Linked DNA regions of Cricetulus griseus. The protein of the gene in region 2 purifies or fractionates together with the protein of the main gene of each other region. This does not show direct contact. Links are inferred from orthologs where the notes say so. Each region holds a gene or a part of one and is shown on either strand. Other genes may lie near its edges. The genes, in order: Znhit6 and Nufip1.

The links.
Region 1: the proteins of Nufip1 (region 2) and Znhit6 purify together in Homo sapiens (affinity purification with western blotting; 3 studies listed by BioGRID and IntAct, with this or other methods). This does not show direct contact. The link is inferred for Cricetulus griseus from reciprocal best matches to the Homo sapiens genes NUFIP1 and ZNHIT6.

Annotation. Positions count from the first base shown.
Region 1 is NW_023276806.1:13,622,427-13,626,917, forward strand, and holds the start of Znhit6 (box C/D snoRNA protein 1), read right to left. Parts: upstream 2,956-4,491; 5' UTR 2,856-2,955; coding exon 2,398-2,855; intron 1,450-2,397; coding exon 1,384-1,449; intron 1,302-1,383; coding exon 1,195-1,301; intron 1,110-1,194; coding exon 1,024-1,109; intron 1-1,023. UniProt on the Homo sapiens protein: Required for box C/D snoRNAs accumulation involved in snoRNA processing, snoRNA transport to the nucleolus and ribosome biogenesis.
Region 2 is NW_023276807.1:230,510,083-230,513,892, reverse strand, and holds part of Nufip1 (nuclear fragile X mental retardation-interacting protein 1), read right to left. Parts: intron 3,636-3,810; coding exon 3,537-3,635; intron 2,832-3,536; coding exon 2,769-2,831; intron 1,978-2,768; coding exon 1,901-1,977; intron 1-1,900. UniProt on the Homo sapiens protein: Binds RNA.

The DNA.
Region 1 (4,491 bases), on a different chromosome or scaffold from region 2:
TTGTCAAAACTGGAATCACACTACTTTCCAGTTATTTCTAACAGCATACCCAAGCCACCACCACCTCTCACACGTTGACACACACTCCTGAAACTGTTCTTCATGCTTCAGTCTTCCACTGTGGTTCCCTGACCCCAACCAAGCAGCAAGTCATCCTTTAAAAAAAAATTATTTTAGCCAGGCGGTGGTGGCGCACGCCTTTAATCCCAGCACTGGGAGGCAGAGGCAGGTGGATCTCTCTGAGTTTGAGGCCAGCCTGGTCTCCAGAGCATTCTAGGACAGACTCCAAAAGCTACACAGAGAAATCCTCTCTGGAAACAAACAAAAAAGGCTCATATACCGGGCCCTGCATGGCCTGTCTCAAGAGTCTCTCCTGCCTCTTGACTTTCTGAGGGTATTAAAGGCAGCACCACACAGTCTCCCTTGGTCCCTTTACTTAGCATGCTTGGGAACTCTACAACTTTTCCTAAACTCCATTTAGCATCCCTACCCATTCACTATGCTTCAGTTATCCTGCCTCTTGTAATCTCCAAACATACACACCAGTTCTCAGCCTGCATCTTTTTGAGTCAAAGTCTTGCTATGTCTTCCTCCAAGTGCTGGGTCACAGGCTTGTGCCACTTCTGTCCAGGTCTCTACCCAGAAGAGTTTTCCTCCAAATGACTCCTACTCTCTTTCACACCATTAAGATCAACGTCTAACTGGTCCTCAGAGATGCTCATCTCTACCACTGTGTTGACAATCATACCCCGAAGTTTACGACCTCACAGACTACTTTGTTTTCTTTACTCTTTTGACCCATCCCAATTTTCTACATGCACTTGAATCTGTAAGAAATTATATTTGCTGTTTCTACATCCGGCCTCTTCCACTTAACTAACAATACAAACTCCGCAGGGTAAACTTTGGATCTATCTTGAATAATCAGTACAGTCCCAGGTCAGGGTGGCCACTTGATAGATCCAAGAAATGAATAAACATTGGAAGCAATTTTAACTTGAAAAGATCAGAAGAAATCCTTACGTATTTTTTGCGCTTTGGTCTTTTCAAGAAAGTATCTCTTGAAACCTGGTCTGCAGTTCTTGCCACGTCTTCCAAAAACCGATAGTCTAGTAATTTCAGAAAGGAAAAATTAACAAGTGACATATGCCAGTGGCCAGAAAGCAGTCACCTGTTGTGCATAGAATGACTTACCACTTAGGAGATTCATCTCCGTAAACTGCTGTAGTGAGATGTAAGCGGTTTTATCTCGGACTCCATTACAAGTCAGTTCTGCTTTGTGCTTCTTTACGCAGGGCAAACTGCAGAGACAAACAGAAGGCAGTTTTATATCTGAAGTAAGTGGGAAGAGGTCAGGAATAAGGTAGAAAGTTACATATCTACCTGCAGGAATATCTCATGCAGCGTGGACATCTGTACTTTGCCTCTTCTGTCCCACAAGTTTCACACCTGTAAAATTCACCTGTGACTTAATACTCAAAAATTGACTCTACTCATGAACTTACAGCCTTTGAATGCTGAATCAAGCCTATTTACAGTTTACAGGCACGTAGTCAAAGCAAATAAAGCATATGTCAGCGACTCTGATCAATTCTTTTATAGCTGTCATTGAAAACTGTGAAAATGTTTGCAAATGACACAATGAAAGGCAATTCGAGAAAATATATATGAAAAATAGTCTGTTTGATTTCTTTTCTACTGTAATTAGAAATTAACATGAACCGGTGATTTTTGAAATTTGCAATTCAGAGATATTTTTGTGTGTGTATCTAGAAGCTGCATCTGGACATTTTTAAAAGCATACACACAAGCAAAACAAGACAGGATGAGGCCCAGGTAAACTTCATCGTAATGTATGCCCTCCCTTTGCAAAAGGACACCGAGAAAACCCAGAAATGGCGTTACTCGTCTGTTCTTAACAGACAGCCCAAGCTGTCAGGGGTAGAATCTTCACAGTTTGATCTGTGGGACCACATGAGCACACTAAAGAAACTACATCCAGGAATAAACATTCGTGGGGGCCGTGAAAAGGTTCAAGAGCAAGCTGACTGGCTGTCTATTAAACTCCACTCACTTTCTCATTGTTGGTTTTTATTAGATGTCCCCTGATTCCTAGTTTCTCCAATAGGCACAAGTCCTGCACAATCGCTTCACAGCTAACAAGCTCTGGTTCCACAAACGTCTCCAGTCCCCAGATTTACGCCCCCTGAGCTGACCACACCGTGTCGGTCACCGCCACTGCAGTGTCCCAGAATGTGCTAGCGAACACCACCATTCAGACTTGGGGCTCCCCCTTGGTGCCTGGTTTAACTGGTGCTCTTCACCGCCTGCTGCTGGGTGGCGGGGTCCACTCAACGCTCTGGGTTCCAGGTGGGTGTGCGCCCGGCCCTGCCCTACCTTGACATGGCCAGCTTCCTCTTGCAGCCCCCTCGGGGGCTCATGCGAGGCTCCCCCTTCACCCGCGGGCCATCCGAGCCTTCCGTCTTGAGGGAGCCCTCTTCTTTGACGCGCACCGCCTCCACCAGCTGCTCCTCCTTCACGTCCTGACCCCCCAACAGCTCCCGTTTGACGTCCACGCCCTCCTCCTCCTCCTCCTTCACTTCTTCCCAGTCCGGAACCTCCTCCTTCACCTTCACCTTCTCCTCCTTCACGTCGGGCTCGCCCGCCGCCTCTTCCTTCACCAGCGGCTCGCCCGCCTCCTCAAGCTTCACGCGGGGCTCGCCCGCCGCCTCCGGCTTCACCGCCCAGGGGCAGCGCGCCGGGCCGCCCTCGGCCCCCGCCTCCTGCTTCACCACCGCCAGGTCCACCTTCGCCTCCTCCGCGCTCGCCGCCTCCGCCCCCGCGGCAGGCTCCATCGGCTCGCACGCCGAGGCCGCGCTTCACCGTGGCGCTCGCCCGCCGCCGGCCACAGGGGTCCCCGGCGGCGCCACACGTGCGCGACCCCGAGCTCCGCCCGCCCGCCCGCACGCACGCACGCACGCACGCACGCACGCCGTAAAGCAGCCCTCCCCGGCCGCGGCTCTTCACGACTCGCGGAGCTCTTTACGGCTCAGCCGCTTTGCGTAGCGAGCACGCCCGGGCTTCCGAGTGACGGTCTGCAACGAGGGCACCCGCTCTCCCGTGTGCTGAGGGCTGACTCCGACCAGGGAGCCGGGCGACAGCAGCGGTTCGCGGCCCTCCCTCCGCACCCGCCACCCTTCAGTGCAGTCCCGGTGCGGGGGAGCCCGGCCCCGGCGCACAGCGACGCCGCTGCGCTGCGAGCCCGTGGCTGCACCCAAGGCGGAATTGCACGCTGATGCTTCTGCAGAGCGGGGTCTGCAGCCGGAGGGCCCGCCAGCCTCAGGCCGCGGCCTGGCTCTCGTCACGGAGACGCCAGCCGCCAGACGACGCTTTTATGCTCGGGCGGTGGCCGCCACGCCTTCCATCCCGGCACGCGGGAGGCAGAGGCAGGGGGATCGCTGTGAGCTCGAGGCCAGCCTGGTCTCCAGAGCGAGTGCCAGGATTGGCTCCAAAACTACACAGAGAAACCCTGTCTTAAGAACCGACCACCAACCAACCAAACAAACAAAAGGGAAACCGCCTTTAATCCCGGCACGCGGGAGGCAGAGGCAGGGGGATCGCTGTGTCTTAAAGGCCAGCCCGGTCTACAGAGTAAATGCTGGCACAGTCAGGGCTGCATAGTGAGGCCCTGTTTCAAAAACAACACGCGGGAAGTGGGGGGAAGGGAAGGAAAGGAGAGAGAGAGGGGAGAGAGATGCTCGTATCTGCTCCCGCGAGGATTTCATGAAACCATGCGTGGGATCACATACTACTGCCAGCAGCTGAAATCGCCGGTCACAGGCTAGTAATAGCCCCTCAAATCCATGCGCTCAAGCCCTTAACTCCCAGGACCTCACAATTCTGACCTTATTTTGGAGACAAGGCCCCTAAAAGCACACTGGTTTAAATGAAGTCATTAGAATGCGCCCGAATCCAAGCTGACTGGCGCATTTAATAAGAAATTTGCATACAAATTTGCTCACAGAGAAGGAGTCCTGGAGTGTGGCGAGAAATAAGCCTTCTGTTTGCCAATCCAGGTAGCCTAAAAGAGAAACCTCTGAACCCTTGGCCTTGGACTTCAGTAACTTCTTGAATTTCGAGAAAATGAAAACAATCTTTGTTTAAGTCACCCAGCTTGTGCTATCATGTGCTATCATTGACACACTGGCCAATGACCGTAAAGAACTGGGACATGCTGTTGTGTGACACTATTTCTGGGGAAGACGGGAGCAAATGTCTACTCGCCCCAGGGAGGGACCAACTACAGACCAAAGTAAGGATTCCAGGGAAGTCCAACTTAGTGAGTACACTGGGGTTATTCACACAAGTTTCATCCATAACCCTACAAATAACATAATTTTGTTCTAATTATTGGCAGAATAATACTGTATGTATATACCATGTTTTCTTTATTAATCTACTGTCAGACAGCTAGGCTGATGCCGTATCATG
Region 2 (3,810 bases):
ATACCATCATGGATGTATCAACAAGCTATGCTCTATGGTCAAAAGAGTTTAAGTATCTTTAAGACTAGCTTCTTGCCAGGCTACTCAGAAGGATGCAGAAAAGGATCAGGAGTTCAAACTCAGCCTGGGCTACCGAGTGAGGCAACATCAGCCTTAGTGATGAAGTGAGTCCCTTGAGTCCATTTTAAAAATAATTTAAAAGAGAGGCTGGAGAGATGGTTCCATGGTTAAGAACACTGGCTGCTCTTCCAGGGGACCCAGGTTCCATTCCCAGCAAATACAAAGTTGCTTACAACCATGAGTAAGTCCAGTTCTAGGGGATCCAATGCCTTCTCTGGCCTCCTCAGACACTGAGTACATGTGGTGCACAGACACACATACCAGTAAAATAGACAAATAATAATTTTAAAAAATTAATTAAAGACAGCTAGGGATTGTAGCACAGTGGCAGAATACTTGTCTAGTATAAGCAAGGCCTTAATTTCAAACCCAATGCTACAAAATAAAGAAAAAATTTAAAGCCAGGCAATGGTGGTGTACACCTTTAATCCCAGCACTTGGGAAGCAGAGGCATGATGATCTATGTAAGCCAGCCTGGTCTACAAAGTGAGTTCCAGGACAGCCAGGGCTACACAGAGAAACCCTATCTCAAATAAATAAATAAATAAATAAATAAATAAATAAATAAATCAAAACAGATAACCTCTTGTTTTTTTTTCCATATCTGACTTTCCTTCTTGTTAATTCTAGGAAAAAAGTACTGTGGTGGTTTGATTGAAAATGTCCCCCTAAGACTCAACTATGTACACTTGTGCAGCGTTGTTTGAAGAGGTTACAGAGATTCACGGTTATGGAGCATTTACGTTGAAGGATGTACGTCTCTGGTAGCTGACTTTCAGAGTTGCTAAGTCTTGCCTGATTTTAGCTGTCTCCTGGTTTACCAACAAAATGTGATCAGCTGGCTTCCTGCTGCAGCTGCCCACTGCCATGTCATTCCTGCCATTATAGATTCTAACTCTCTGGACCCATAAGCCACACTGAACTTTCTTCACTAAGTTGCTTCTGGGTATTTTATCAAAGCAACAGAAAACAAACTAAATGATTGTCAAAGTGCACCTTATCATTCTAATAATTCTACCTCAGTCTTCTGCTACAGGATCAAATACGTGAGAAGACAGTAACATGGAGTTCCAGGCAGATTTTTCACAAGTACATTGTAGCCAGACATCAACTCTGCTAATATATGTAAAGCCACAAGAAACACAGTAAAGACTCACTCACATCTCTTAAACATTAATTACAGGGATGAATTCCTGGATTTTTTACAGGTAAGGACACGTACATGGACATCTTGTTCACTGCTAAACCCACTCTACCTAGCAGAGAACAGTCATTCAGCCGTGCGTTTAAACAAATAATAAATAAATAAATATAAACATGACAATGTATTATACATTTAAATATTATTACAAGCTCATTATTCCCCCAGCCACTGAATATCTAGTAAGTGGCATGTTAGCACTCTTCGGGGTTCGTATAGTTACGGTACATCTGTTATTTAAATGCAAAGTTCCTGTAACTCTCCCCCAAACCATACCCAATAGCCTAATATAATGTAGGTTACAGTTCTCTTTCTTCATGTTAGCATTATGAAATAATTCGATGGACTTCACTATATAATAAAGATGCTGATTTTTAAACCATCAACTAACACTATTCTCAGTTATAATGTACCACTATTGAAGAACACAAAATCAAGCCGGGTCACTTTCAGTGAAAATGTCTACAACGCTATAAAAGACCACATTTCTCTTCTCATATTCAGCAGGACCGGCTGGCCAGCCATTAGTCTTGCCACAGACAAAGGAAGTTACTGATTAGTTAGCAGCTCTTTACTCACTTTCTTCTTTCTTCCCTCCACCTTGCAATCTCTTCTGGAGTGTCTAGCTTGATCTTCCTCATACCAGGAGCATGCATCTAAGGGCAGAAAGCCTGCTGAACATCAGGAAGCATAGTGTGTGCTCTTAACTAAATGCGACATTGTATCCAACATGAAACTTACAAGCAGAAAATATTTTAAGCTAACAAGCATTCTCACTATGCCTTATCCCTCAAAGGAAAAGCTTCTCATGTAGCTGGATCAATGCTAATTATGGGAGAAAGCAGCATAGGTTTTATTACATAGATGCATAACCCATTTTCTCAATTGACATTAAATTCCCGTGACCAACTAATCAAGCAAAACTGAAGGTGACAGATTAAAAAATTAGTAGACATGATCATTTTTTCACAAGTCTTTTGTTTATTTTGGTTTGTGCATGCATGTGTCATGTGTGTGTGTCTCTATGTGCATGTATGCATGAAAGTGCCCTCAGATACCAGGACACTGAATCCCCGAAGCCTGAGTTACAGGCAGTTGTATGCTGTCCAGTGTGGGTGCTGGGAACTGAACTTGAGTCCTCTGGAGGAACAGAGCAAGCTCTTAACTGCTGAGCCATCTTGTCAGCACCCAGCCACAGTCATTTTAAGAAGCATGGCATGGTCAAACCAACATAAAACTTGCAACTGCAACAATCAGGTCTGGGTAGGTAAGTCATTCTTCTCGATCTGTAGGAGGACCTAATAGCTATCTATTTTGCATGGTTTAAGACTAAAATAGAGTAAGAGATGTAAAACTTCCTTACAAAGTACAAAACACTGCATGAATATTACTATTGGCATACACAGAGAACACATTTACAACAGGTCAAAAGTCATTAAGAACTTACATTTTTCCAGTGAAACTGGACAATCTTCTCGTGTGCACTGAAAGAGCAATCGGCTTCAGGGCACTGAAAAGTTTAACAACAAAAAGACACTTTAATGATGGCCATGATTTAATGGTTCACACCACCAGGGATCTACACACTATGGTCGGCCAGTGATTATTCTGTGCTATCACTCCTTCATTCTTAGTCCAACAGCAAAACACAGATCCCTCTGAAACAGCTGCACTTAGAAGGAAATGGCATCTTTGAGATGAGCAGCACAGTCACTCCCATTTCCTCTTTCATTGAGTGGAACATTCCTAATTCCTAAAGGGGAGGCATTCCTGCAAACGATGTTTCCAAAACAAGAGTTTTCCTTAAAAAACAAACTTTCAAACGTTCTAAATGGCTTAACATTTTTAAATCATCTGGGTTATATTTAGAGAACAGCACACTAAGACAAATCACACAGTGAGCTGTAGATCAAGACAGTAGAAGAGGGAAAGTGCTCAGAGGCACTCAAGGTGATTGCAGGGGAGGCCCAGCTCTCCTCTCATGTAGCCATGGAGGGGCACAGACACAGAGGCTGCCACAGCTCCTCCTCTCCATGCAGCAGTGGGCTCCCCACCCCCAAACTCCAAATCCCAGGCCCTGTCCCTATGTGTCAAGTTATCAAACATTTCTTTCTGTAAAAACTACAAACTTATGAGGAAAATAAATTTGGCACTTTCACCAAAAATACAAATAAGAGGCCTTTACTACATTGGTTCAGAACAACCAGGAACCTACTTTTGTATGTTCAGACATATGTATGTCATATTTTTCTTGATTTTTAAAGCCACGATCACAGGTATCACAGAAAAAGTGGAAAACCGGTTCCTTTCTTTTCTGCAAACAAACAACAAAAAAAAGCAGTAAGACTGTGGTACAAAAAAATCTCTGCTCAACCAAACACAACTTATTCCAGGAATACATACTTGATTTAAAACATACTCTGGGGTGAGGGATTCTTTTATTTGTTAGCAATATAGCAAAAGTCAGACACGAGAAACAAAATTTAAAT